2 linked regions of the Diceros bicornis minor genome follow. Each later gene encodes a partner of the first gene's protein in a complex. Links are inferred from orthologs where the notes say so. Each region holds a gene or a part of one and is shown on either strand. Other genes may lie near its edges.

What was found.
Region 2: UBL4A (region 1) and GET4 share a complex: the UniProt entries of both Homo sapiens proteins name them as parts of the BAG6/BAT3 complex. The link is inferred for Diceros bicornis minor from reciprocal best matches to the Homo sapiens genes UBL4A and GET4.

The regions. Positions count from the first base shown.
Region 1 is NC_080781.1:138,421,465-138,436,998, reverse strand, and holds UBL4A (ubiquitin-like protein 4A), read left to right. Parts: upstream 1-8,145; 5' UTR 8,146-8,201; coding exon 8,202-8,249; intron 8,250-8,436; coding exon 8,437-8,542; intron 8,543-8,756; coding exon 8,757-8,971; intron 8,972-9,086; coding exon 9,087-9,197; 3' UTR 9,198-10,682; downstream 10,683-15,534. Other genes in the region: SLC10A3 (P3 protein), read left to right, coding at 5,854-7,290. UniProt on the Homo sapiens protein: As part of a cytosolic protein quality control complex, the BAG6/BAT3 complex, maintains misfolded and hydrophobic patches-containing proteins in a soluble state and participates in their proper delivery to the endoplasmic reticulum or alternatively can promote their sorting to the proteasome where they undergo degradation.
Region 2 is NC_080765.1:13,630,031-13,644,785, forward strand, and holds the start of GET4 (Golgi to ER traffic protein 4 homolog), read right to left. Parts: upstream 8,496-14,755; 5' UTR 7,598-8,495; coding exon 7,326-7,597; intron 6,836-7,325; coding exon 6,710-6,835; intron 6,499-6,709; coding exon 6,420-6,498; intron 6,040-6,419; coding exon 5,958-6,039; intron 5,390-5,957; coding exon 5,240-5,389; intron 1,160-5,239; coding exon 1,021-1,159; intron 1-1,020. UniProt on the Homo sapiens protein: As part of a cytosolic protein quality control complex, the BAG6/BAT3 complex, maintains misfolded and hydrophobic patches-containing proteins in a soluble state and participates in their proper delivery to the endoplasmic reticulum or alternatively can promote their sorting to the proteasome where they undergo degradation.

The sequences.
Region 1 (15,534 bases):
CCTATTACCTACTATGGTGGCAGGTCTCCCATCGGAAGTGCATTTCTTTTTTGGCTGACCCTATCGTTTGTTCTATCTGTTCTCTCAGTCCAGATGACTTCTCTTTTGTTTTGTTTTGGGTTTTTTTTGTGAGGAAGATCAGCCCTGAGCTAACATCCATGCCAATCCTCCTCTTTTTTGCTGAGGAAGACCAGCCCTGAGCTAACATATTGCGGATCCTCCTCCTTCCCCTCCCCCCTTTTCTCCCCAAATCCCCAGTAGAGAGTTGTATGTCATAGTTGCACATCCCTCTAGTTGGTGTATGTGGGATGCGGCCTCAGCATGGCCGGACAAGCGGTGAGTCGGTGAGCACCCGGGGTCGAACCCCGGCCGCCAGTAGCGGAGCGTGCGCACTTAACTGCTAAGCCACAGGGCTGGCCCCCAGATGACTTCTCTTTTGGAACTAGATATCCTTGACTGATTTGTAGAGCCCTTCCTCCTCTTCTGGGGTAATTTATTTTATTTTTTTTGTGTGTGTGAGGAAGATCAGCCCTGAGCTAACATCCATGCTGATCCTCCTTTTTATCCCTTTTTCTCCCCAAGGCCCCCGTAGATAGTTGTATGTCATAGTTGCACATCCTTCTAGTTGCTGTGTGTGGGACGCCGCCTCAGCATGGCGGGACAAGCAGTGCGTCGGTGTGAGCCCGGGATCCAAACCCAGGACGCCAGCAGCAGAGCATGTGCACTTAACCGCCAAGCCACTGGGGTAAATTATTAATCCCCTAACCCAACTACAAACATTCTCTTGCCTTTAATTAAGCTGTCCCTTTTTCCTGCAGAGAAGGCCTCCAAATTCCCTCATGTCAGACACCCCACCAGCCCACTCCCACTTTTCAGGGAAGGCTGAAGTGACTGACGACAATGGGGAGCAGCCTCTCACTACACCTGCTCTCCTTGACTCCCAGCACCCATTCCCGTTCAGTTGGAATATAAAAACACAGGCTTCCTCCAGGGAGGACACCTCTTTTAGGTTTTCCTTCCCCAGCTCTTCCTGCCAACCCATTCCCCTTCTCCCTCTGGCTAGTTTTACCCTGTCCTCGGACAGCCCCACCCCCACTGCTCTTTTCTTTTGCAAATTGCAGTCTTCAATGCAGCATGAGCCAAGCCCAGCCCTCTCACCTGTGCCAGCCTGCTTCCATCAGGATCCTACAACCCTATTTGAGAGGGACAGTGCAATAGTTCCGGGACACCAAGTCCACACACAAATGGCTTATGCCTTACTGGTCCTCTGAGGCTAATGAACAGCCTAGAGCTATGACCTCTGAATGTGTTTTTTTGTGTGTGTGATAAAGATCAGCCCTTAGTTAACATCCATGCCAATCCTCCTCTTTTTGCTGAGGAAGACTGGCCCTGGGCTAACATCCATACCCATCTTCCTCCACTTTATATGGGACACCGCCATGGCCGCCACAGCATGGCCTGACAAGCAGTGCGTCGCTGTGCGCCCAGGGACCCGAACCCAGGCGGCCAGCAGCGGAGCGTGCGCACTTAACCGCACCACGTGGCCAGCTCTGACCTCTGAATGTTTTTGATCACTGACATAAATCAAGCCCTCTTAAGCATGCTCCCCCACCATGTGTATATCTGCTTAGATATCCTATGCATGTACTAATCTGAACTTTATAAAACACACCAAATTTTTTAAATAAACAAGATGTATTTAAGTTTACATTTAAATAATAGATTTTTTATTAAAATTATTTATTTGAAAAATTAAAAATAGAGATGTTATGGGGTTATTTGGGACATTCTCAATGATGTGTCGTGTGCATCTCCAGGGGCAAAGTACCTGTAACTCTGGGGACCACTGGCTTCCATCACAGCCGTGACAAGAGGTTCTTCCAGAGCAGTGGGTAGCCACTGACCAGCGCGCTGGCAGACTGCAGTTGCCCAGCAGCCTTTGGGAACATGCAAATCCCCTTCCACTATGCACTTGCTTACTGTCTTCCCATGTCTTTTCTACACCCTCACCACCTTTCTGCCCATCCTTACACCATCTGTTTGCATTCCTTTTCCATGAAGCCTATGGACCTTGCTGGTAGCGCCAAATAGTTTTGAAAGGTGGATAAGTCCACTGATGCTCCGCAGTGTGAAATAGGTGCTTGGTCAATGCTTGAACAAAGGAAGGTGGAACTGGGTCGAGCCTGGGCCCCGGAGTCCGGGTCACTGGGACTCAGCCCTCGAGCCATAGGGCTGGGCGCCCTGAGCGGGAACGCAGAGCAGAGGCCTGCATGAATTGTGAGTTACTGAGCATTGCACCCTGGGAGGAAGGGACCAAAAGAGCTGCCTGTGTCTCCACACAGGTGTACATTCTGAGGAGGCTCTTTATTCTCAACATATTTGAAATCACTTAGCTGGAGCAGTCAGTTCAGACACACCTTGTGGCACAGACTTCACAGGACAAGCAACTGCCCTAACAATCCTTGTGAAGCAGCCACTGGTTGAGTGGGAACAGCATGGTGACTTGGGAGCTCCAGGGTAACTGTCCTAGTTTGTCTGACACACCCGCCAAGCTCACTGGCATGTCACCCTTAAGTCAATGCATAGCCCATCTGCCTGGAGAGCCCCAGGACTTCAAGGCCTGTTTCTACATGTGACAGATGCTTGCTTCACAGAGGCCTGTCCCTGCAGCTCTGCCTGAGGATGATTTCTAAATAAAACAAACTGGAATGTCTATCTGTGACTTGGAACCCTCCATATCCTTGGCCCTGAAAGAGATGAAGAAGGGCTTTGGGGCTCTGCAGTCTACCTGTATGAACTCTGGAAAAACAAAACAGAGGCCCTGGCTAATTGGGACTTGGGATTTGGGGGCCCAGATGACCTTCAAGTCAGGATGGCACAGATTTTATGATGCGCAACCGTAGAAAACTCAAAAGTGGCTATGTCTTAAATATAGACAGATCCTGATCCTGGGATCCCGCCACTAGCAGCAGCCCCTGGGCGTCCCAGCTCTGCTAACGGCTAAGCCTGTGTGTCTCACTGCCCCCAGAGGTCTCAGTGTATTTGGGAATGAGTGTGGCCCCTAATCGGAGCGCGTCGCCCCGGCGGCAACCACAGAAGAGTCGGACAGGCGGCTGAACGGCCGCACGAAGCCGTACCAAGCGCCGACCAACCGCGACCCGGAAAGCGACCAAGCCAGCGCGCCCGCGCCGGCTCGTTGCTCCCAGATACGTCACATCCGGTCGGAACCGGCCCCGGCCGCCAGAGGTGAGCCGGCCGCCGTGGGGGAAGCGGGGCGGGTGCGCGGGGCGGGGCCTCGGCTGGTCGCGGGCGGGGGCGAGGCGGGGCGGGGCCCTGGCCAGCCGAGCTCGCAGGCGTCCGCCGGCCCGGCAGGCCCGCTGGCTCCGAGCTCCGGGGCCGTGGCAGCAGGTGAGAGCCTCGGGCCGGAAAGAGCGGGCGGAAGGCAGCCTCTGGTCCCGGCCCGGCTCCGCGCTCGCCCGCTCGGGCGGCCGGGACCGGCAGGGAAGGACCGCCGCCGCGAGAACGTGAGGCCTGGCGCGGCCGCGGAGCCTGGGAGTGGCTTGAGGGCGCCTTCCGCGACCCAAGACCGCCAGGGCGGGCCGCTGGCCTGGCCGCCTTCCGGGTCGCGGTTGGCGACTACGGGGCAGCAGCCTGAGTCCGGCGGCGGCGCCCTCCTCCTTCCCTCCGTCCCGGGTTCGCGCCCGAGCTCTGCTCGTGCCCAGTCCGACAACTTCCGGACTCCCAGGTAGGGAGGAGCCCCGAGTCAGCACTGCCAACTGCCCTAACACCGAACACTCAGCCAGTGTGGAAAAAGCAGCCAGCCTGGGGTTCCTTCCCCTGCCTTGGGGTGCATCTGCTCAAACTCTTCTGGCCCCTCAAGCAGAAATGGTGTGGGATCTGGGCCAGACCCCTCTTGCAGTGACTCAAAGCCGCCAGCTGAACTGGAAGGACAGGGTGGATGACCCTTAGCCTCCTCTCCCTTCTGAACTGGTTCACACCACCGCGGTGGCTTCAGTCCCAGGTGCCTTCATCTTTTCCCTGTGACTCCCCTTCACTTTGCTTCTCATACTCCCTCTGGTTTGCCTGCCTTCCTCTTCAGCGGTGGGACACAAGGCTGGACCAAGGCCTCCAGGGTAAGTGACCCAAACTCCAAACCAGCCAAGACCATGGCATCCCAGGAGGCTGGGGGGAGACATTCCCAAGGATGAGCCTTTTGCTTAACCTGCCCTCCACCTCCTGCCTCCCGCGCTCCCCAGTCTCAGATGGCTGAGTGGGGGCAGGGACAAAGACTGTCAGGATCTACAGAGGCAGGGGCCTCTTCCAGGACTGGGACACTGCAGGGCGTGAGGCAACCAACAGTAGTGATGAAAAACCAGTGTCCCCATCCTGGTTGCCCCAGTCCCAGCAGGTGATGTGGCAATTGGATGGTGGCTGCCCAAACCTCCTCCTTTCACCCTGAGGCACCCCGCCCATGAGAAACACTCATAGTCCCCCTGGGCATTCCAGGCTCTGGTAGGGTGCGTGTGGGCATGGGGAGGAGCCCCTGGACTCCGAGCAGAGCCTCTCAGGTGTGACACAGTGGCTCTAGGAGCTCAAATTCTGGGACTGCCAGAGGAGTGGAAGTTCTGACAGAAGGAGAAGAAGCCCCCCAGCAGACATGTGGTCCTATCAGGCCCCCTCCTGCTGCCCCTTCTGGTGACTTCTCTGGGGAGAGGGGACCTGCTCCCCAGAGAAGAACCCCCATCTCCCCACTGTCAGCAGGTAGGGGAGGCCAGGGAACCATGGTGGCACCATTCACAACTGCACGTTGGTGGTGGACATCAGCCCCTGGGGCCTTCGGCCGGATGGTCACCCACTGCCCACGCCACTTTGCCAGCTGCTTTCTTCCTGGCAGATGATACTCAAATGCCCTAACCTGCACTCTGATGGTCTCTCAGATCTGGCCCAAGCCAGTGTTTCTTTTTTTTTTTTTTTTTTTTGTGAGGAAGATCAGCCCTGTGCTAACATCTGCCAATCCTCCTCTTTTTTTGCTGAGGAAGACTGGCCCTGGGCTGACATCTGTGCCCATTGTCCTCCACTTTATATGGGACGCTGCCACAGCATGGCTAGCCAAGCAGTGCGTCTGTGCGCGCCTGGGATCCGAACCGGCGAACCCCAGGCTGCCGCAGCGGAGCGCACGTACTTAACAGCTTGCGCCACCGGGTCAGCCCCAGCAAGCCAGTGTTTGTATCAGCACCCTTTGCTCTCATCAAGCTTGTCTCCTTGTCATCCCTGGGCAGCCTTTCAGAGATTTCATCGTGGTTGTGGGATTGCTGCGGCCCTGCTGTAGCTGCGTCTCGAAGCTGGTGGGGAACAGGCTAGTGGTGACAGGATTGGGGGTGGCTCTCCCGAATCCCTTGGTATCAGGATGTCTCTGCATGGTCACCATGCTGGGCAAGTCCAGGGAAATGAGCGGGTAGCAGCAGCCTGAACGGGAACTGCTATCTGTGAGTGTGTCCTCTGGGTGAGGGATAGGAAGCTTGAGGCAGTTGTGCTGGGTGAGAGGACAGCCGAATGGCACTCAAGGGCCAGCACTAGGCATTGCCTTTCTGTTCCCGGGCTTGGGGCAAGGGGCCCCACTGAGTCTCCCAGCAGTGGGCTTCCAGATCCCCAGGCTCCTGGGCTCACAGCTGCTCGCCCTCACCAGCCCCCTCTCTGTGTCCCTTTCCTCCTCAGGAAGAGCTCTGCCATCAAGGAAGGCAGCACAGGGCCAGGGCCCGCCTATGGACCCTTCTCAGGACAACCCAACGGTACCAGCAGGACTGCTCTCCTAAGCCACAGAGGGTCTGGGCTCGCCAGCCTTCAGGAAGAGCCATGGTGTTTAGGAGGGGCAGGGGCAGCTCCCAGCAGTGGCCTGGCCTGGGAGGGGGCAGTGGTTGCACAGGCCACCTAATCATGCTCAGGACTGCACTGCTGCTTTTCAGCCTGCCATGGGGGGCCTGGGGAACAGCCAGTGCCAACCTCAGCACGGCTCTGGGCCATACTGTGCCACTGACAGAGGGCCGCTACTTGAGCATTGGGGATGGCTCTGTGATGGAGTTTGAGTTCCCAGAAGAGAGCGAGGGCATCATTGTGATCTCGAGCCAGTACCCAGGCCAGGGCAACAGGACGGTGCCAGGCCCCACGCTAAGAGTCACCTCCCTGGACACAGAGGTGCTGACCATCAAGAATGTGAGTGCCATAACCTGGGGTCGGGGGGGCGGCTTTGTGGTGAGCATCCACTCAGGCCTGCCTGGGCTAGCCCCACTCCACATCCAGCTCGTGGATCCCCACAAGGCCCCACCTATGCTGATTGAGGATCGGAGAGATTTCTGCATCAAGGTCTCGCCTGCTGCCGAAGACGCCCCTGCCACCCTTGGCGCCGACCTGGTCCACTTCTCAGAGAACCCAATACTCTACTTGCTCCTGCCTCTTATCTTTGTCAACAAGTGTTCGTTCGGGTGCAAAGTGGAGCTCAAGGTTCTGAAGGGGCTCCTGCAGAGCCCCCAGCCCATGCTGTTGGGCCTCCTGGGTCAGTTTCTGGTCATGCCCTTCTATGCTTTCCTGATGGCCAAGGTCTTCATGCTGCCCAAGGCCCTGGCTTTGGGCCTCATCATCACCTGCTCGTCGCCTGGCGGCGGGGGGAGCTACCTCTTCAGCCTCCTCCTTGGAGGGGATGTCACTCTGGCCATCTCCATGACTTTCATCTCAACTGTGGCTGCCACTGGTTTCCTGCCACTGTCCTCAGCCATCTACAGCCACCTGCTCAGCATCCATGAAACACTCCACGTGCCCATCTCCAAGATCCTGGGGACCCTGCTGTTCATCGCCATCCCCATAGCAGCAGGCGTAGTGATCAAGTCCAAGCTCCCCAAGTTCTCCCAGCTGCTGCTGCAGGTTATCAAGCCCTTCAGCTTTGTGCTGCTCCTGGGTGGCCTCTTCCTGGCCTACCGCATGGGAGTCTTCATCCTGGCGGGCGTCAGGCTGCCCATCGTGCTGGTGGGCCTCACAGTGCCCCTGGTTGGCCTCCTGGTGGGCTACGGCCTGGCCACATGCCTGAAGCTGCCAGTGGCCCAGCGGCGGACAGTCAGCATTGAGGTAGGGGTGCAGAACAGCCTGCTGGCCTTGGCCATGCTGCAGCTGTCCCTCCGCCGCCTTCAAGCCAACTATGCCTCCCAGGCCCCCTTCATCGTGGCACTGAGTGGCACCTCAGAGATGCTGGCCTTGGTCATTGGCCACTTCATCTATAGCAGCCTGTGCCCAGTTCCCTGAGGCCCCTGGGTCAAGCTTTTGCCACCCCTAGCCCCCACCCTCCACCCACTGTCCCCACAGTTCTTGTGTACCAAAGGCCTTTAGTTCTCATGCACTATGCACTCAGAAAAGTCCAGGCTGATTTTTTTTTTACTGGTTTTTTATTCTCCAGCTTTCAGTGCCAAAGAGGCTATGCTGACTTAGGTAGGTAGGCACTGCCCAGAAAATATATTTCAATAAAAGAGAGAAGCAAGCTTGGGTCCCTTCCCGTCTTTGCCCTTTAAGGCCTGGGGGTGGGGGTAGGAAGGGTGTGGCTGGGTAGGTGTGGGTCGGCGTGGAGGACTGGCTTGGGTGACACGGTGATCTCTGTGCAGACTTTCTTTCTCAGCCCTCCTTCTCCACGCACCCCCTCTGTGAGAGGTGGGCCTCTCTGTTCTAGAATGAGCCACGGGAGCATGCGGGCAGAGGCCTGGCTCCTGCCTGCTCCCAAGCTCAGCTGGTTTTCTTCAGCCAGACTAGAAAGGAGACAGCAGGCCCGCCGCGGGCACTGGGGTAAGCTTGGCAGGGCTGGGCCGTCTGTGGATTCCTGAGAGACACAGACCGGGCGATGGCGCTGCCCTGCTCCGCCGGTGGCCCTCCCTCCTCCCCAGACGAGGCCGGCCCCACCCATTCCTCCTCTCTGTCCCGGCGGGCTTCCCGCGCCATCGCCGTGGGGGACCTGTCGCCGGGGCGGGTCCCTGCGCGCCGGCGAGGCGGGACATCAAGGGGACTCCTCCTCCGGGGGTGGAGGGGGCGGGGCCGGGGCGCCGGGCGCGCCCCTCTCGCTGCTTCCGGCGGCGGCGGGTGGTTCCGGCGCGCGCCCGGGGCGGCGGCGCGCGGCGGGGGGGCGGTTGGGGTGCGCGCCGGCCGGAGTGGACGCCGCCGCGGCCGCCATGCAGGTGACGGTGAAGGCGCTCCAGGGCCGCGAGTGCAGCTTGCAGGTAGCGTCGCCGGGCCCCGTCGCCGGGCCGGCTCGCGCCCTCAACCCCAGCCCCGGGCGTAGGGCCGGGCAAGCCGAGGGCGGGAACGGGGACGGGGCGGGCGGGCCAGCCGCGCCGGGGAGGCCGGGAGAGCGCCCTCGGCGGGAACTCGGGCTCAGCCCCTGCCTCCCACCCTCGGCCCGGCCAGGTGTCGGAGGATGAGCTGGTGTCCACGCTGAAACATCTGGTCTCCGAGAAGCTGAACGTCCCCGTGCGCCAGCAGCGGTTGCTGTTCAAGGGCAAGGCCCTGGCAGGTAACCGGAGAGAGGAGACGCCCCAGGGGCCCCGCAGGAAGTCGGGGGACAGGATATCCAGGCCGAGCCCGGGCAGCGGTGAGGGTCTGGGCGCTGGCCACTTGAGGGGAGGTTGCTGAACCTTCCTCAGCCAGATGCGGCAGCACTCCGGCTGCTGGGGCTCCTTGAGGCCACCCTTGCCGCTGTGGGTAACAACTTAATCTCTCTTTGGCAGATGGGAAAAGACTCTCCGATTACAGCATTGGGCCCAATTCCAAGCTCAACCTAGTGGTCAAACCTCTGGAGAAGGTGTTACTGGAAGAAAGCGCTGCCCGGAGACTGGCCGAGACCCCACCCCCACCCCCACCCGCCTGGCAACTGATCTCCAAAGTCTTGGCCCGCCACTTCAGTGCTGCTGATGCCAGCAGAGTCCTGGATCAACTACAGAGGGTGAGAAGGGTAGCCTGGCCCATCCCCTTCTGCCCCTGCTGCTCCCACCCCTGGCCTCTGTCACAGTGTACTGCCCGCTGGCACCCCCTGAATCCTCCTGACTTTCTCCCCTCAGGATTATGAGAGGTCCTTGAGTCGCCTGACCCTGGATGACATCGAACGCTTGGCTAGCCGCTTCCTGAACCCCGAAGTGACTGAAGCTATGGAGAAAGGGTTCTCCAAATAGGATTCTCTGAGTGTGGGGAGGAGCCCGCCAGGCTGCAAGCTGCATGTAGCATTAAATGTGTTCTCATGTTGCAATTTGGCTCATAATAGTAATAGCTGGCAAGTATCCCTCCCTGGCTCTTGCTAGGTGCCAGGCACCTCGCACAAAAGGTGAGACAGCTGAGGCTCCTGGCAATGAAGTGATGGAGCCAGAACCTGAGTCCAGCCAGCTTCTAGAAGTGCCTCAGGGTGAGAAGGAGAAACGGGCTGTTGGAAGGGTTCCAAGGGATGGGCTTTGGCATTTTGTGTTTAGCCCACTGAGAATAAACCCTCGAGCGACTCCTTTCCAGGTCTGAAAGGGGAAGCAGCTGGCCCCTGCTGCCCAGTCCTGTCACCTGACCTCTGGCAGGTCTAGCATTGGTGGGAGGCCAAGTGGCAGCCAGCCCGGAGCCCCCTCAGCTGCTGCAGCAAGTGCACTCGACGCAAGATATGCAGGTTGGGGAATCAGGGATGAACGTCGCCCAGCTCTGCAGTATGACTTCAAGCAAGTCCCTGTGCCACGTTGGTCCCCAGCTGTTGACTCTGCACAATGAGGGCCAGTCCTTAAACCTCAGTCAATTTCCTTCATCCTTACCCCAGCCCTGGGGTGAGGAGTTGGCGGTGATCCTCCCTCTTGTTTTCCATAAACAAACTGAGGCCAAAAGCCAAGCGATGGCCAAATGTGGCCCAGAGATGGGGTGTCCGAGCCTTTTGTGTCACAGCTCTTATGTGGGCACCCCCCCCCCCGCTTGTACCCTCCTGGACACGGGCAGTTCTCACCCCTTCGGAATTACAGGTCACTGGCTTGAGGTCACTCAACGAGGCAGTGCGAGAGCTAGGCCTCAGCCAGGCCCCTGTACCCTGCGCTCACCCATAGCGTGGAAGGGATCCTTCCCCTGCCACGTGTGTACAAGGGCTTTCACTTTGCACACCCCTCACTGCCTGAGACGAAACCTCGGGTGCCAGGGACGGGGAAGAAGCATGGGCTAGTGGCACTGGTCCTCCCACCCTCCCTGGTGTGTGGGCACTAGAGGTCATCTACGAGCCTCCTTCTTAAAGGAGGGCATCCGGGGTGGTTAAGGCTGGAAGGAAGCTGCCCTCCAGCCTGGGCCTCTTGGGGCAAACGCTGGGTCCCCAGGCTGGGAAGATGAACAGAGGTCTGATGGGCAAAGGCTTTGAGGAGCAGACAGAAGCCCCTGACCCCAGTTGAGAGCTGGGAATAGCAAACAGGGCCCACTTAGGAGCCCGTGTGGTCTGGCAGCTCATGTGACAGACTTAGCAATGCTCTCATTTCTTTTGAGTCAGGAACTTGATGTTGAAATTTTAAATAGCACTCAAGGTGAATGTGAGACTTGGACTTTTATCCAAAAGGAACTATATTAGCTAGGCTGCTTTTGGTTTCCAATAATTGATTTAACCGTAAAGGAAATTGATTTAAACAATAAAGGAAACTTACTGGTTTACGAAACTGAGAAGTCCAGGCCTATTGGCAGCAGATGAACAATTTCAGCAAATACCCAGTTTCTTCCTACCTCCCCTCTGCATTCTGCAGTGTCTGCTTCATCCCAGGCCGCTGCCTCAAGATCCAAATATGGCTGCCCTGAAGCTTCCACTGAATCCCTCATTCACAGCCAGCAAGGAGCACCTTCTCGCCCTATAGTGTAGCTTATTTCTCAGATGCCCCTGACAAATAAACGCTGTCCTTTCATTGGTCAGAACTGGGTTGTGCCACCAATCATTTTGGCTGGGCGTGAGGTGGACAGTGGGAGGCCAGCCCCCTGGACACCCATGGGCTGTGGGAGGGAGAGGGGATTCAACAAAAGCCAGGTCCGCAGGAATGGCTGACTGGTCCACTGCAGGGGAGTGACACACGCAGATGCAAGTTTCAGACAGACCCTAGAGATGGTCATTGAGTCCCTTGTGCCAGCACCTCTCGGCTCGGAAGTGACAGAGCCATCTGGTGGTTAGGAGCCATTCACTGGGCAGTTGGACACGGGGACAGGAGCTCGGCGGGGCTGGACATGGAGACTGGAGTGGAGTCTTCAGGGTGTGTGGTGGGAACCTTGACGGAAGAGCTGACTGGCACCCAGGCCCGGTCCGATTCCAAAGCCCTGTGCAGCCTTCGACGATGACGTTCAGGAGTTACCTGTGGACAGGATGTCCTAGAAGCTGTGAGGACGGATGAGATGGCTTCCCCGAGAGTGTGGCATGAAAAAAGGAGAGGACTGGACCTTGAGGAAGTTTACCAACTGGTAAAGGCCGAGGAGCATGCTCAGACACAAGGCCACAGGGAGAGCTCAGTGTCAGAAGCCAGGAACGCCCCTCCAGAAAGGGGGAGTTGTCCAGTGCTGCCAAGAGGCAAAATTAGGGCAGGACAGAGCCACCTCTGGCATTAGTAACAAGAAGATCATCCGCGATGTTGAGGGGCAAGAAGCAGTTGCAGGATGGGCAGGGGAGGAGTCAGTGATGGTGACTGACTGGGGACCCCTCATTCCAGAAGCTTGTCTGTGCAGGAGTATGTAGCTGTGGCAGGGCAGGGATGGGCAGGTTGGAGGCTGGCAAACAAGAGAGGGAGGAAATGCTGCAGGGATGAGAGATGGGAGGCCCTGGTACCGGGGAGGCTCTGGGTCCTGGTCTCTGCTGTCATGAGAGGAGACTGAGGACTCCATGAGAAGATGGAGTGGCTGCAGACTGCACCACACCTTTGCCCCTAGAATCTGGGGGGTGGCCCCATGTACACCTGCAGGCCCCAAATGCTGAGATCCTTCAACAGGGGTCAGAATGTTTACTGCAGGCATGGTGCTCCTCTGATCCAAGTGTCCACCTGGGTTGTGGGTGCTGACCCACCGCTACCCCTTGTCCCCTACCCACTATGGTGCCCTGAGACCTACAGCCTGCCCCTAGGTGAGGGGCCTCAGGACAGTCCCTGAGCCCCAGGGACGTGGTGCAGCTTGCAGGCCCTGTTGTGATCGCAATGATACTGGGAGACAGCAGAATGAGGGAAGGGCCCAGCTGAAGTGGCCTCTCAGACAGAAATGGTCTGGCACCTGGAATGAGATGCTTGTGGTGCCGTTTCGCAAGGGCACATGGGAGGAGGAGCAGACTCAGAGGAGAGCAGCATTTGCTTTGGGGTGGGACTCGTTGACTTGGAGGTGCCCAGGCGACAGATCAGCTGTGCCCACAATTTGCTGGCGCCTTACAGGCCTGGCCAGCTCCAATAGGTCTGACAAGGCCGCTGCTTAGCCAGGCCAGGCACTCCCAGGAGCAGATGCGGCAGCTGTCGCTGGCCTCAGACCTCCAGGCCCTGAAAAGCCTGTGGGAGAGACAATGGCCTCTTTTCACCAAGCGGAGCAGAGCGGCCTCCGTGGGCACCTGGGGACTTGCCCCTTCCACAAGCCTCTGGCATTCCTCATTTCCCGCCCTCTTCTGCCCTCACTCTCCTGCTTTTTCTTCCACTTCACTGCTCTCTCCTTCTCTGGCTCCTTTGCTGGTTCTTTCCTCCCACACACTCCACCTCTTAATGTTGGGGGGTTCCAGGGCTTTGTCCCCGGACCCCTTTTCTTCTCTCTATTACTCCCCAGGGGAGCTTGTCCACCTTCATTTCCATTTCTTTTTTTTTTCGCTTGAGGAAGATTGTCCCTGAGCTAACATCTGTGCCCATCTTCCTCTATTTTGTACGTGGGACGCTGCCACAGCACGGCTTGATGAGCCGTGCATGGGTCTGTGTGTGGAATTCGAACCTGCGAACCCTGGGCCACCAAAGTGGAGCACCCAAAGTTAACTACTATGCCACTGGGCCACCCTTCATTTCCATTTCTATGCTTCACTCCCACGTCTGTGGCTTATCCAGGCCCTTCTCCTGAGCTCCAGGCCACATCTCCAGGGTGGGACTCCAAGACAGCTCTTGGCTCTCCTGCAAACACCTCACTCATTCCTTCAGCACACACTCACTGAGTGCCCGCCATGTCCCAAATGCTGGCAACACTGAGACTGAAAGACACAGTCCCTTCCCTCTTAGCACCCATGGCCAGTGCTGGGCAGCCCCTCAGCACCCACATTTTCTCCACGACCTGGCTCAATGAATGGCAATACCACTCAGCCAGGCTTTTAATGACAGGAAGTGGGAGGCCACCTTTGCCTCTCCCAACTCTCCCTTCTCCATAGGCAATCTGTCAACAATATTTTTAGAAGAGTCCAGAGCAGTTACTTTGTAGAATGTTCTAGAGTCTGGATTTGCCTGATTCCTTCCTTGTTAGATTCAGCTTAAGCACTTTGACAAGTTGCTTTCCTTCCCCCTCTCCCTCAACAGCATCAGCAGGCACTCGGGGTCAGGTGGTCCCACTGTGGGGGAGGCTCGGTTTGTTTTGATCACGTGGTCAAGGTGGTGGCTGCCAGGTCTCCCCATTGCAAAATTGCATGTTCTCTTCTTAATGCACAAGTAATCTGGGGTAATACCTTGAGACCCTGTCCATATCTTGTGCGCAACAATCCTTATCTAATGGTTTCACCAACCAAGGATGAGCCTGACCAGAAGGAATTGCATTGGGGGCTGCAAAACAGTGGTTTTCTGATCCTTTTTTTTCCCTGAGGAAGATTTGTCCTGAGCTAACATCTGTTGCCAATCTTCCTCTATTTTGTATGTGGATCGCTGCCACAGTATGGCTGCAGATGAGTGGTGTAGGTCCACGCCCAGGAACTGAACCTGGGCAGCTGAAACAGAGCATGCTGAATTTAACCTCTAGGCCAGGGGGCTGGCCCCTCTGATGCTTTCCTTCTTTCTACAATTGTTAATTGGCATTTCTCTATGAAGAGCTTTCCTTTTCCCCTGCTCTCTTTTCTCAATTATCATGGTGGATGCATCGTTTTTTTTTATTCAACAACTTAGAATCCAAGAGTGTCATTTTGGGGTCATTTTTATTGGTCTACAGCATTCATGCAGTACTGTGCATAAATCATATCACTGTACAGTGCAATGGACCTTTAAAGTGAACACCCTATGTATCTATCCTCTCCAGACTGAAATAGAGAATACCACCAGCACTCCAGCACCTTCCCTGGTGCCCCCTCCCAGTCATGCTCCTCTCCAAAATCGTTCATATTCTTTTAGATGCTCAAGTTGTTCTAGCTTTGCTTCTCTCGGGTTAGTTCCTGAGTCCCTTTGACATGCCTCATGCTTCTGTTGTTCAAGCACTTCCTGACTTTCTGGCACTACAAGGTGCTCCAGGCTCAGCTTGTGTATTTCTTACCCCAGCCCTAGAATCCACCATTACTTTTTTGTTTTTTTTTCCCCCCAAAGCCCCAGTAGATAGTTGTACGTCATAGTTGCACATCCTTCTAGTTGCTGTATGTGGGATGCAGCCTCAGCATGGCCGGAGAAGTGGTGTTTCAGTGCGCGCCCGGGATCCAAACCCAGGCCGTCAGCAGCGGAGCGCGCGCACTTAACTGCTAAGCCACGGGGCCGGCCCGAATCCACCATTTCTCCAGGGAGCTCTGGTCCTTTGAGTGGAGAACGATACTGAGAAACCAAGGTCTGAGTGCAGGGTGTGTTCATTGCTACTGGGGTGTCACTGCTTCTAGACTTTTTCACTGGCTCGAACTAGGAAATATATATATATATATATATATATATATTTTTTGTGTGTGTGTGTGTGTGTGTGTGTGTGTGAGGAAGATTAGCCCTGAGCTAACATCTGTTGCCAATCCTCCTCTTTTTGCTGAGGAAGATTGGCCCTGGGCTAATATCTGTGCCCATCTTCCTCTACTTTATATGTGGGACGCCTGCCACAGCATGGCTTGATAAGCAGTGCATAGGTCTGTGCTCTGGATCCGAACCTGTGGACCCTGGGCCGCCGAAGCAGAGCACGTGAACCTAACCACTATGCCACCAGACCAGTCCCAGAAATATATATTTTTATGAGTTCATACTGCGGGGCCGGCCCAGTGGCGCAAGTGGTTAAGTGCGTGTGCTCCCCTGTGGTGGTCCAGGGTTCACCGGTTCGGATCCTGGGCGTGCACCGACGCACCACTTGTCAAGCCATGCTGTGGCGGCGTCCCATATAAAGTGGAGGAAGATGGGCACGGATGTTAGCCCAGGGCAAGTCTTCCTCAGCAGAAAAAAAAAAAGAGGAGGATTGGCAGATGTTAGCACAGAGCTGATCTCCTCACACACACACAAAAAAGAGTTCATACTGCAATCCCTAATTCCAATCCAGCATCACAGTTCTTTCTCACCTTCCCCCATTCCACAGTGAGAATTCGGGTTCTCGACATCCATATATTTACTCTTTTGCTCTACCGGGTGGAGTCTATGTTAAAGCACA
Region 2 (14,755 bases), on another chromosome or scaffold:
AAGAGGGATCCACGAGAAGGGGTTTAGTGATCTCACACGCAGTGCCAAGTTCAGTCCAGAGAACGTATCTAAACAATATGCCACAAAGCCAGGGTCATTCAGTTCTGTATTTTAAAAAATGTTTCATTTTTAAAGTCAACGTCAGCAACAAATAGTACGCTCAGAAGCTCCGAGGTGCTATAAAGTACAGCAAGTCGTTGTGACCCAGCCCCCTTCAAATTCACAGAACACTCCGACCCAACGCCCGGCTACCAGATCAAAGTGTCTCTGTGGGAGGAAATAAACCTCTCCCCGTGACACATCTCCATCAGGAAGGGAGGATGGGCCCAAGTCGGGAACAAGCAGAAAGGGAGGCGCTTGGGCGGGCGGCCCTGCCTGATGTGGGCGCTCACTGCACAGCCCACTCAACCGTTGGACGTTTCAACATCTCAAGATGACTGCTGGAGAGAAAACGGGATGAGGAGGCCAAACGGGAGCAGAGGGACAAGACAGGATCCAGTGGGAATGAACGCTGGCTGTGAGAGGCGCTATCCACGTAGTGAAGCGTTCAGATGCACAAACCTCTGGAGAGAACAGCATAGCCTCTGATAGCCTGCTCACCCCACATCCCCAGATACCAGGTGAAACTTACTAAAGACGTGTGTCCTACAAAAGAAAGGTTGTCTGACACTGAAGAACCCCCAAAACATAAAAGAGTTAATAGGGAAAAACAGAAAATCGATGGTAACAGAAGAATGTTAATTTAAAACATTAAAACTCACTTCTTTTACTGCTCAATTGAAATCTTACAAGTGCCTGAGAATTCCGCTGGCTTAAGAGAGTTGAGAGGGACAATGTCTGTTGTCCCCAAGAGGTCTGCAGCAGGGGTTGCAAGGGCAACACTCGAGTGCGACCCTAAGTGACTCAGTGATTACCCTCCCACGTGTCTCGGTCAGGTGATGAGGTGACCAGCTCAGAGGCTGCCTCTGGAACCCCACAGCCACTGAAGCAAAGAGGCAACAGGTGCACACAGGTACCTACTGTAGGACAGCCTGGGCCACAAACATGTCCACCTCGCTGCGGAATCCCCTCGAGGTGGAATATTCCACCAGCATGTTGGCACAGCCTTCACCGTCAGTGGAGTGCAGGAAGTGATATCGAGATTCACAATAATTTTGTTCTATGAAGGCAAAAAGAGAAACCCGTCAACACAGACGTATCACAAACATGACGTATCAGGGGGCCTGAAAGACACCACTGCACACTCCCCACGCACCCGCTCTCGTTCTGCACAGCACTCCCCCTGCTCACACCGAGTGCAGCAGTGTAGACAGCGCACCGTCCTGCACACGGCAGCTCCACCAACATCTCACCAGCCACCTCCAATCCAAAGTCAAATACAAATGGCCAGACAGGGCAGGTCATTCAGCTCAGCTGAGTCATGCCAGCTGCCCCGCGTTCCCACATCAACATTTATATCAGCCGAACCGTGAGAAATGGCCAACAGGGACAGACTCTTTTGACCTACACGGATAGCAATTTCATACAGACATGATGAAACGAAATGCAAAATCCTGACACCAAGTCCACTGACCCCGACACACAAGCACCTTGAATCCCAGAGGAGCAGCCAGGACCGGGTCGAGGCCCGCCTTTCTCCCACAGGCCCGTAAGTCCGCCAAGAGCCCGCAGCCCCGCTCCCAGCCCATCCGCTCCCGCTCTTTCTTCTGCAGCACTTTCCACCCTCGAACAGACTCTACACTTGAGTTAATCGCCATGGTTACCGTCTGCCCCCCTCCACAAAGAGCTGAGTCCCATGAGGCCAGGTCTCATCGAGGCCGGCATGGAGCAGGCACCAGAGAGAAGCTCCTCTGGATGCAGGGCTGCTCATCCCACTGGGAACAGGACCAAAGTGCCTGTGAGAACCAATGGGTCCTGTATGCGGCGGGATGGTGGCGAGCGGCCTGTCTCTCCCGTCACCACCACCCTGGACTTGCACCTCTGATTTGTGCCCAGTAGAGGCTGGACTGTCCCCACTCAGGGCGGGGTCACCTGCGAGCTGGTCAGGAGGGTGGACTCTCCAGCCCTGAACTGGACCTGCATCCTAACAGCTCACTCGTGTGCACAGTCAAGTCTCAGTGGCCCTTTCTCAGTCCACGTGTCCCGTGGCCACACCTTTCATCAAGGCGCCAAGTTGCAGTGCTCACAGAGCGAGAGGGGAGGAGGATGTGAGCCCACTAGGGAACACGTGTCCTCTGACGCTGAGCTGTTTGAGCATCTCTGTTGTCAACTGGCTGATGGTCCCGACCTGCCCATTGCCAGTGGGCGTCAGGCTGTGAACTGGGCCTCCCATGCCACTCTGCCCCCCGCTCACCACTCACAATGCCTCTGCTCTTCTCCCACGTGCTGCCCCCTACACCAGCTCCTCCCATAGTGATTTCACCCCCGACACAGGACACTTGGCAATGTCTAAAGACGATTTTTGCTGCCACAGCCGTAGGTGCCCTTGGCATCTAGCTGGAGCCCAGGGACACTGCTCAGCACCCTGCAGTGCACAGGACACCCAGAGAGTTGGCAGCGCCAAGGCAGAGACCTGGTTCCAGGCCGAACCACCACCAGTTCCTGCTCAGACACCCCAGCTCCTCCAGGTCACCTGCCCACAGCCCGGCCGTCTCCCACAACAGACCGATCACCCCCTGCCCTGCTCACAGGCCACCCTGGCTCCCACTCATCCTTCCAGGGTAAGGTGCCGTGCCACCCGCCCCAGCCCGGCCCCGTGTGCCTGCTCTCTCCCATCTGCTACTGAGAACATAAGTTCCACCCAGGGAAGGCAGCCCCGCCTGCCCTCCAGGGCTCTGCATGAGCGTGGCACCGCCCCCACCACCTAAAAGGCGCTCCTAGCCTGGCATTAGCTCTTGGCACCCGGCTACTGCCTTCAGGAAACTCAGAATGATACGGAGTCAGCGTTCCTTTCTGCAGTCGTGTTTCGTTTGTCTCCCTTCTCTCCCTCCAACCCACAAAAATAACCTTTTGGTTTTAGAGCATCCACATGAGAAGAAAAATGAGGCAGGTAACTAAGCCCAGAAGTTCACGCCGGCATAGGGCCCCCTCGGAGCCCTGGAATGGAACCTCAAACACCGCATGTGGCGAGGAATGTGAATGGGGGCAAGTCGTGAACCCCAACCAACAAGGCGCAGGCAGTGGCCCCAGGACGCCCAGCAGAGAGCAGTTCTGGCCTCATACACCTGCCTGGAGGGGAGCCCCATCACTGCCTTTCTCAGGCTGGGCTCCCGCAGACACCCCCAAGCACGGCCCCTCCACACGAACTGGACACCCACACAGAACACTGCACATCTCTCCTGACAGTCTGTGCTTGAAGAAGAACATTCAACTGTCTCTATCCTGAATATTTAACACTGTAACAATAAATACACATCCTGAACCACCGAGGCCGAACCATCATGGTTCGCACATTCTGCTTCACAGACGCAGGGTCCCCATGGGCCCCACAAACATGGGCCGGGCAGGAGGGGTGTGGAATCAATGGTTGCTGGTTCCCACCTGCACATGCAGGCCCGACTCCTCTGGAAGACTTTCCCCACTGCCCTGTCGGGCCAGCCAGCAGATGGCCACGTGGGCTGCAGAACGGCACTTACCAGGCGTCCCGCACTGAATAAGACGGACTAATTCTGAGGGCAAGAGGGCGTGCCGGGGGAGACAGACAACAGCCGGGAAATAAATGGGCGCTGTGAGCGAGTAGCAGGAAACCTACGCTAATGAGGATGGCCCGGACGGGCCATGGGTGACATCAGGTGAGTTCTCAGGGATGAGGAGGAACCGGCTAGAAGCGCTGGGAGGAGGCTGAGTTTGGAAGAACGAGGCGCCCATGGGGAATGTGTGGCCAGAGGGAGGAGGGAGCCCGCTGGCTGTTGTGCCCGAAGGCGCCAGCTGCTCTTTCTCAGTAACGTTTCTTTTCTGGGTTAGAGTTGGGGGAGTGACTCAGCCACATCCTCTAAGAAGAGCTTCCTTAACTTTCTGGACTTCGAATTCTCTCAGGTCTGACCCATTATTCTCATTAATGTCCCTCTGGGGTGAGGGCAGGGCTGTGCCAACACCCAGAGGGACAGAGGAGCCTCACACCCCGCCTGCCACAGCAGGCGGGAGATGGCGAGTGGAGCGTCACCTGCCCCGAGAGAAGAAGGGACAGGCGAGGAGTGTGCTGCTGGACGAGGACCTGTGCATCAGCCCCACGGAGAGCAGAGGGAGGAGCACGCCCTGGGGTGGCTGGCTTGTGGAGCAGACAGACATTTACCCCATCCCCTGCCCCGAGTCAGAATGGCCGTTCCAGGAGGGCTGGCTGTTGTGGGTGCTATTCACAGGCTCATCTGCACTCACGTCCAGAGGAGAGGTGCCTTCAGCCCAGACCCTCTGAACTCTGACAGCTTCAAGCCTCGAGGCCCCGCCCTCTGCGCCGCAACGAGTCCCTGACCAGCATCGCCCTCTCTCCACTGGGCCCACCAGGTGACGTCCAGTGAGATGGGCGCACACACTTATATCTGCAACCAGGGCACGTGGAGGACCCAGCGAAAGCAGCTTTCTAAACCCCACCATCAGCCATCTTTCTAGTCACTCAACCAGCAGCTCCTCAGTGCCCTTCCCTGTGCCCAAGCAGCAGGCTCGGGGCTCGGGACATGCTCCCCACCCTCACGGCCTGACCAGTCCCCACAAATGCTCATTAGAAGATGTGACAAACGCTAAAAAGAAAAAACAGCGCCTGGCGCCGTAAGAGTGCTGGTCTGGAGGGACGTCTCAGGAAGGAGGACCCGTGGTGGGAGGAGCGAGGCCGCTGCCATGAGGACTCACAAGCCCCTGAGAGAGAAGGGGGCAGCCAAGGAAGGGTCACATGTGAAGGGCCAGCCCAGCGCGGCCGCCCTGTCCTCCCCGCTGCCTCGGCGCTTCTCCTTTGAGCGAGGTGACTCCACCGAGAGGAGATCCGCTATCAAGGCACAGACATTCACATTTAGCAAGACAGAAAAAACCCAGCCCGCGTTATCTCCGAGAGCAGGATCTCCCCTCCTCATCAGCTGTGGCAGATGATTCCAACCAATTAAAATGGAAAAGCAAATAAAAGCCAAAGGAAGCAGAGAGAGGGACACCTGCTCCCTGGACCAGCTCGCTCCCAGCCCTCTGGGAAGGCCCTCGGGCCGCCCACTCCCACACTTCCGAGAGCCGCTCTGCGCATGGGCTCACCAGGGCCTACCTTTCCACAGGGTGAGGGCCAGCAGCTGGTGGAGCCGGGGGTGGCCCAGTTTCCCGGATCCTCCACTGGACCACTTCAGGGCTCTAGACACAAAGGCCACTCGCTCCGGAGAATTTGGATCCATCAAACTAAACAGTTTAGCCAGATTTTCTAAAAACAACACAAACACAGACTCTTACCCAAAGGAATACACCACTTCTTCGTACAGTGCATCTTACAAAAATTCATTGGAAACAACAATTATTTCACTGCAGTAGAAAGCTGAGAAGCAACCTGCGTGTTGGTGGTGTCCCAGCGTACCCCCATGGGTCCTGGTGCTGTTGGGGGCCACCCCCAATTGACCTCCCCGCAGCAGTACCAGCAGCCACTGCTCCTTTCTGGCCTCACGGCTTAGCCCGCACTGGGGAGCTGGGCGGAGGGTGGGCTGCGGTGGGGAAGTGAAGCACCAGGCTGGCAAAGACCAGGAGCAGGACCCCTTCTTCATCTTCCCAGCTGGCAGCTCACAAGATGGGCTCCCCAACTGCATGCTCGCCAGAAAGGACAGGCCAGCAAGCCAGGTCTCTGAGACAAAATGACGCCCCACCTTGCCCACTGGCTGGCTGGGAGGCCATTGTCCATCAGAGCAGTGGACAGTATAGGTGGCTCCCGTGTGTGTGTGTGTGTGGCTACGTGAGAGCAGCCATGAGACCGTCTCGAGTGCACAGTAAGAAAGCCTCACCCAAGAGCTCATCGGCCACCTCGACGTCTGCCTTCTCCAGCGACTCTAAGACCAGCATGGACAAGTCTGCAGCACTGTTTTGCTACAAAACATGGAAACGAACAAGAATCCCACAGTTAGAAACAAAGCTCTGGCCGTTTTCAGAATGCACGGCAAAGCGAGGCAACTGCTCTGGGTTCCAGGTAGAAACCTGTGACAGAACAAAGCTGAGAAAACTCTTCTGAGCAGCGGAGTCACTTAGCAACACAGCCCGGATAGCTGACTCCCAGCCTGGGGTACACCCACAGAGAGCCGGGGGCCCTGCATCTGTGCCCCTGGACCCAAGGACACTCACCCAGCTGCAGGCAGAGCGGCCAGCACCAAGGACAGCCTGAGGTCATCCACCAGGTCTCTCCCTGGACATTCCCACCCCAACCCTCAGGCCCCAAGCAAAGAAGACCACGGGAGAAGCCCGCTGCTCACCTGGCCGTGGCTGAAGAACAGTAGCGCTCCTGAGCACATGAGCTCCCGGGCCTCTGCGTGCTTGTTCTGTGACATGTACCTGCAACGGAGACAGAGGGGAGCAGAGCGCCAGTCAGGGGCAGCTACCCACAACGCTTCACGCAGATGCCCCCAGAGTCTAACACACCCCTGAGTTCTGTCCGCCAAGCCACACAGGGACGGTTTCGGAGAGCAGATGCAAAGATAAGGCATCTGCATGAATGTGCGAGCATTATGAAGCTGGCGATCCCAGACACACACACACCTCCCACCAAGAACGGAAACAAGGCTGTTTTCTCTCCTGAGGTCTGCCGCCGCACCGAGTGGTCAAGGCACCCTGCCCCTGGGGTCTGTCCAGGCTCCACACTGGGGTGTCCCACAGCCCAGCTCCCCCTGGCCTGCATGAATCCCCATTGTCGGTGATCTGGGCCTCAGGGGACCAGCAGACCTGTGCCCCCTGCAGCATAACTATCTGATAACAGTGCGGGTGGGGGACCCTGCCTGGGCCCAGAAAGGCCTGGAGCCTGAGCAGCGCCTCCCTGCAGCCACTCCAGGGTCTTCAGCAGAAGGGAGGACTTCCATCTCAGGCACAGGCCTTGCCATGGTGGCAGGTGCTGCATGAAGGGGCGGGTGATGCACCCTCATCCCCTGGAGAACCACAGGTCAGGAGTGAGGCAGGGAACAAGGGACAGTGGGAGCTCAGCACGGAGGCTGACTGGGGGACAGTACCCACAGTAACTGCGTTGACCTCAGTGTCGGCTGCCAGACCACGTGCCCCCAAGCCCCCTCCCTGTGCTCCCCTCTGACTTCCTATGGGAGGCACAGGCCTGGGTGGGCGCCATCACCCTTGGTCGTGCATCACCCTCCCACTTTGAACATGTTTCTCACAAAGTACAGGAGCTGGGAAAAGCTGGTTTCCTGAACTGCAGAGGGACGGAAGCACAGAGCAGCAAGAAGCCTGGCAGGTAACGTGCAGACACAGAACAGAAAGGACGACGGTCCACCTGCAACAAACAATGTTCAGGGAGCAGACCGGGACTGAGCTGTTGCGTGTGGCACAGAGCCCCTGCCCGAGACAGAGAGTGTGAAATAGCAGAAAACGGCTTCCCAAAGCGAGGCACAGCCTCCAGTGGCAGCCGGCACAGCTGGCGCCAGAACATTTAACTCACCGGCTGTGTATTTATCTCAGTGATTATCAGAAAAGAAACATAACCAGTCAACCAAAACTGTGCCTCCAGCCCAAACAAATCCAGTTCAGGAGAGAAAGGAAGTAAGCCGTGGACGGGCACTCTCAGGACACGGCAAGCGCCGGTGCTGGCACAGGGGGCTCAAGGCCGAGCTTCCCCGGAGCACACCAGGGCCACAGTCAGGGGGGAATGCGAACGGCTGGCTGTTCCATTAACCACAGAAAAGGTCTTTTCTTCAAAGAGGCTCCGCAACCAGACACCCCCAGGAGAACACAGCCCCACTCCAGCCAGCACGCAGGGATCCAGCTGGCCCGGACACATGCCCCCATCTGGCTGTACAGAGGTGCGACTGGGAGGAAAAACCTGCATCCCAAGAAAGAAAACCACTGTCAGCCCGCAGGTCACCAGCACAGTCTGTGGTTTCTGCAACAGCGCCGCTGGGGCGGAGTCCTTTTCTCTCTCACACACGCGGCCTGCTCCCACAGCAGCCCAGGTCATCCCAGTCTAATCCTACGGGAGCCGCCCTGCACATGACCTGGTCCCAGCACCGCCATGGGGTGTTCTGGAAAAACAAGTATTCAGAGGTGCACAGCCTCATGCTGCCACCTGCACACACACAGAACTGTCGGCATTTTTCCTAAGTGACAACCACGCCAGCTTGTCTTGGCTTATTCATGACACGACAGAGTTGTAGACTCTTCTATGTGAGGTATAACAATAGAAAACCTCTTAGAAAACCAGATGAAAGAAAAAAAAGTCCCTGAAAAGCAGATAAAATTCTTGGGATAACGGAGCCTGCTTTCAGGAGGCAGTGATCGTGGCCCGTCTCAGGGCACGGAAGCCCACACAGGGGAGGGGGGTGGTGACCCGTCTACTGAGCACACACGCCACCAGGATTCCCACCAGTCATTCCCCACCCAGTCAAAGTCGCTGCTGCAGATCAAGGAAAGCTGGGGCGGGGGGGGGGGGCGGGGGGAGACAGTGAACGGCCACTATGAAAAATGAACGTGCTTCTTCCTGCAGAACTTCGCAAGTGGGAAGGGATCTGTTGAAGGGACTGACCAGGGGTGAGGTGCCCTCCAAGGCCTCAGGGGCTGGGAGCAGCCGGAACAAGACCCCTCCAGCACAGCGCCACCCACGCAGCCCCTCGCCTCTGCAGCTGCGCGTCCACACCTGCGCACCGTCGAAGTTGGCCTCTGCGTCCCCGATGGAAGGACGTTCCAGGCTGGCATGTGCCGGTGCTATCTGCCCACCAACTGATATGGCAGCAGCACATCTTTAGCCACACAGGATCACGTCTGTGCAATTATTCTAGTTTATTTTGTTCTTATTTTTTAAAAAAAGAGAGCAGAACATAGAAATGGAAGCAGTAATATCAGTGATAAAAACTGCAGATGTCAAATTAAGAAGACAGAGGTGTCAAAAGTCTCCGCTAACTGAAGCCCTGATGCAGCGGGGCTCAGGCGAGCTCAGCAACCCCGCCTCAGGGTCGCCCCTAGAACCCGGCTGAGCTGACAAGGCACAGCTGCCCATGTCCTAGCCACCCCTTCAGGAAAAGTCCACCCTCCGCATGGGGTTGCAGAGAACACGCGTTTTAAATTTTCCTTCTAAAAACTTCTTCATTCGACTTAAGAGGCAAAAGAAGGTTACAGGCCACAATCAACAATCAACACGAGTCTCAGGAGGGCCCTGTCAGTAGGAAGCCCCGATTTCAGTTAACTCACAGCGGGCCTGGGCCAGCTGCGGAGACCCCTTGAGGCGACAATGGCAGCACGGGGCCACCATGCCAAGCAGTCATGCCAGCCTCGGGGTTTATTTAACCGAGTACCAATAAACCAACAGGACGGGAAAACAGACTCCCTCCTCGTCCTGGCGGAGAGAGACCTGAAGAGACAAGGTGACCGCCCACTGCCAGCAGCACCACTGACGAGACAGAGCCAAACACAGACGCCCTGCCTCCAGCCCAACCAGCTGGACCGGCGACTACTGCCCACTCCTGTGGAACAGCCCCCCCCCCAAGTCCAATCTGTTGGATTGTCCAACTCCTTCTCCTAACCTCCTTAAACTGCTGTGGGATATAATGTAAGGGAATTAAAATAGTATAACTTGGTAAATGTATCCAACACGTGAATGGATAAATGAACTGGTCCATCCACACAACGAAAGACCCCTCAGCAATGAATGAACTGCTAACATACACATGGATGAATCTCCAAATGACCACGCCAGATGACTTCAGATAGAAAAACAGGACCTACTCTGTTATTCCACGTCTATAACATTCCAGATAAAAAAAAACAATCTATCATGACAGAGAGATCAGCGGTTGCCTGGGGGCAAGGGGTGAGAGATTGATTATAAAGGCAGATGAGAAAATTTGGGGGGGGGGGTGATGGATATTTTCGTCTTGCTTGGCAATACTGTCACAGGCCTGTACATATGTCAAAACTCACCAAGTTGTACATTTTATATAAATACTTAAATATAGATATATATATTTGTAAAAAGACATTAAAAAAAGACTAAAATTCAATGAATTTGACTTCTCCAGGAGTTAACCATTGTAGAGGGCTCTAACCCAGGGCTGGCATCATGGGTCTCAACACGGTCTGTACCCTGGAGGGACAGGGACAACTCCGGGCTATTTCTGTTAGGCCTCCAGGATGGCCACAACTGCCACCGCTGACCTGGTCCACTGCATCCCCCATGAGGCTGACGGCAGATTGCTAACTTCTCATCTCTCCTGGAGAACTGTAGGAGTAGCCCAAATGACACACGAGGAAGCCAAGGCTCAGAGAGGAGCAACAAGGTGTCCCGGGTCACAGGTCATGGAGCAGAAGTGGACTGTGAGCCCAGGTCAAGGCTGGGCTGGTGGAGAGCCTGATGTTCATCACCACCCCACAACGTCACCATGAAATGCATCCCGGGTGGAGGGACTTACCACTTTAAAGCTAATCGACATTCACGTTCCTCATGTAGCAGCCACTGCAGAACTGGCTCAAAACAAGGAGCACCGTGTTTATTTCTGGGATGATCCAGTTTTGCTGATTAATCACTGGGGCAAATATTTATATATATACAAATCCCCAAGAACAGCAAGCACTGGGGCAGACCTTGAGCAGACAAAAGCTTCCCGTCACAGATTTCTGACTGGCTGAGCCGCCTGGCGGGAGGCTCAGTGTCACAGAGTGTAATGCCCACACACATCTTCCTCATTCCTTGAAGAACCATCAACTCACTCCTAACTGGTCCTCTGGGCCACAACGTGCCACATTTAACCCAACCAAATTGGTAAACTACAACCAAAGCAGAAAGCACCACTAGAGTTCCCAAGATATTGATTCAACTTGCTATTTGAAGAAAATTTTAAAATCTAGGCCTAAAAGGTATAAATGCCCGACCCACTGCCCTTAAATATCTTACCAAAACATCTGCTGTTCTGCGGCAGTTGAGAAAGAAAACGCACTCTGTAGAACAGATTAAATCCTCTAAAACTATCTTTAATACATACCCAAGTTCTAATGAATCGCCCAATTGTTTTCTGGTTCCAACTATAAAGGATCACAGATGTGTAATTCACAAGAATGTCTCACACGTATAAAAACGATTTATGGCAGGGGCTGTGTGACAGCAGAAATATTGTGACACACTGCAGGCCAAAAAAATTAATGCAAGCTACACAGTTCGTTGAAAATTTATAGGGCCACACTAAAATAAAAACCACTTTATTTAACCCAGTAATATACAACCATCGTTTCAACATGAAATCAATGTTTTAAAAGTTGCAACGAGTTATTTCACGTCCTTTTTTGCACGCAGTGTTTGAAGCCCGCGTGTGTCTACACTCACAGCCCGTCCCACTTGGGACTCACCACGTTCCAGAAGCTCAGAGCCGCACGTGGCCAGCGGCCAGCGCACTGGGCAGCGCAGGTACGACACCATCAGGGTAATAAAAATAGCTGGTTTAGTAACAACACATAGCATGCGGGTGAGCAAGAGCGACCAAACAAGCAGAGAAACGTGTTTAAACCCTCACGACTGAACTCCTTGTGGGAGGAACCGTGAGACTCCGCGTGGGGGTTTCAAAGGCAACGGCGCTAGGGGCTCGACGGTGGGAGAGCCGGGGGAAAGGAGAGCGGGGTAGAGGACTCAGGCCGGGAGGTCAAGGGCAGGGTCCGGGGTTGGGGGTCTGGGGTCTGGACAGGGGTCCAGGATCGAGGGCCCATGGTCTGGGTCCGGAACCGGGGCTCCGGGGTTTGAGTCCAGGGTCTGGGTCCGGGGTCGGGGGTCTGGACAGGGGTCCGGGATCTGGGGTCTGGGGCGGGATCTGCGGTCCGGGGTCTGGGCCGGGGTCCGGAGCCCTCCCCGGGCCGCCGCACGGCCGCGCGCTCCGACCCTCGGCGACAGGCAGCGGCGCGGGCCAATGGGGGGCGGGGGCGGGCGCCGGCGGCGGAGGCCCGGGAAGGCGGCGGTCGGCTACCTGAAGAAGAGGGTCCGGTACATCTGGTGCGCCTCGTAGTAGTCGCCCTTCTCGACGCTGGCGCGCAGCTTGCCCTCCACGCGCTGGACGCCGCCGCGGTTCCGGGCGCCGTTCCGGGCGCTCTCCTGCTCGGCCATCGCAGCCGCCGCCATCGGGCCGGCGCTCCGCGCAGGGCTGACGCTGTCGCAGGCGCGGTCGGCAGCGCCTCTCGGCTTCCGTCCCGGCGGCCGCCCGACGCCCTCTACGGTGGCCGCGAGGAGCCACGGAGCGCTGGGGGCCGGCGGGCGGACGAGCGGCCACGTGACCGCGGGGCGGGGGCTGCGGGGCCACCACGTGACCGCGGGGCGGGGCTGCGGACCGCGGCTACTTGACCTCAGGCGGGTGCGCTGACCTCACAATGGCGAGCGCACGTGAGGGCGGAGCGGATAGGCGCGGCGGAGGAGAAACTGAGGCTCGGGAGTCGCGGCGCTGCCCTACCCCCAGCCCCCCAGTGCCCGGGAGGGTAGTCGCGGGTGAGGCAGCTGGCGTTCCAGCGACCGCCGACACTTGAACCGTCCGGCCGCTCCAGCGGAGTTTCGGGCGGGCCGCCCGGAGGCCTGGGCGCCGCTGCAACCGCCCGCCTCAGCCGTGGCGCGGGCGCGCCCGGTCGTCAGCCCCGCAGACGGAGGCTCTCGGTTCCCAGCTGGTGCCCGCGGTGAGAGCCCGGGGGCTGTTTGAGGAGCAGTCCTGCCCTGAGAGGGGCCCCGAGATGCTCTGGTGACAGGGAGGGGGGGCGACAACGGCACGTTGAGTGTGCCATCGTTGTGTCAGAAACGGAGGGGAAGCACGTGTTTAGGTTTTTCCTCATACACGCGTGTTTGCAGAAGGATAAGAAAGTGGTGACACGGTGATAGGAACGCTCGTCCCGGGGCAGCTGGTCTGGGGTAACCCTGGCTCGGCCTGAACTAACGCACCTCCGCCACGGCCTCAAACCCAGCCCGTCCACCCCGTGCCCCCGCTGAAGCCAGGAGCGCGGGCAGCCTCCTCACAGGGAGGCACGCGGCGTGAGGAACAGCGCCCCCGCGTGTCTGACGCGCACCCCTTGTTCTAAGAAAGGAGAAACGAATGGAAGCTACGCTTCCCCCGACGTTCTCCCTTTGTGGAGCCGCTTTCCCGACGGGTCCCCAGCGGGGCTCGGCGGAACCCCACCTTCTCGCTCCTCCAGAGAACAGCCGGTTACGGGTCATCTGCCTGGACAACCGGTTGCCCCTGAAAATCGACAGACGGGAGGTGGAGGCAGGAGGGAGCCTTCGCGGGCACCGCTCTCTCCGGGGACCTTGGCGCTCGAGTCCTGCCACCTGCCCCGTCCAGCGTTTCCTCAGCGTCACTCCTCCCGCTGTCCCGACCCCCAGTGTCACCTCCTCAGAGGGCTGCCCAGCCCCTTCTCTCGTGGCACGTGGGCCTCCCTCAGCTCCGCCCTTGCTCGCAGTGACCTCCGCGCGGTGCGGCACACACCGGCATCCGGTAAACACGGAGCGAACGAACTCTGCTCCGGCTTGATGGGGAGCCGTGCCAGCGCCCACCCTCAGCAACAGCGGCCCAGGGACAAGCGCTCCTCCGAGGAGACCCATCCCCTCTTCTCCCAAGTTTCTCCTCAAGCAATCTTCTCTGCACTGCAGCCTGTTCTCCACGTAAGGTGGCCATGGCCCAGGGTAAAGCTGGGGGAGCTGTGTGAGGACACGTCTCCATTAAAAAGCCCGTGACATAGAACGTGGCAGAAAGAACAGGCACATCTAGTCGTTCCTCCCCCAGACCTCCACGGGCAGAAACAAAAGCAAATTGAGAAAAGGGAAATATACTGTTTATTGTTCATTTGAAATATCACATGCACTTTTAAAAATTAAAACTCTTTATTTAAACATTTCAACAGCATCTTATTAATTTGGTGGCAGCAAAGGAAGGACTAACAAAGACAAATATTTTGAAAAGCATTTACAAAAATACATTGCACAGAGTCCTATCCTGCATCATTAAAAATAAATTAATATTCAAAATATTTCCACCCAACTCCCAAATTTAGTTTTATATAAGAAATTTTGATTTATATATTTATCCTGTAATATATGAAACATCTGTATACATTTTATCCAACTTAACTGCATAGGCATTAGTTCCAATTCTAAGAGTGAAAAAAATGCTACTTTATGTAGTTTTTGTATATTTGAGGACTGTTGTGCAATATACATAAAACTCTTAAGAAAACCAGTCAGCACCATCATTTTATCTTTTTCTGAAAATACAACATTTATGGTACACAAAAAAAACTGTCTTAACCCAATAAAACTTTAAGGTAAAACATCTGTGACATTTGACGTGCCTTGCAGACACCTCATTTATAAAGTCTGCTCAATGAAGAGTCAATATTAAATATTAATTATAACCAAACGAATCTCTTGGGAAGTGAGTGAGAATGGCCGACAGTCGCAATACAAGGCAAACCCCACCTGCACCGGGAGGAAGCACAGCTATGAGAACAACGATAAGCATAAAATGCAACAGTTTCAGGAATGTGCCGCACCGGACAACCTCCTTTGATAACCATCAGTGGAATAAAAACAAGCCTCTGAAAGATTTAGAGCATGTTAGTGTTCACTTTTCAGCAAAATTCAAAA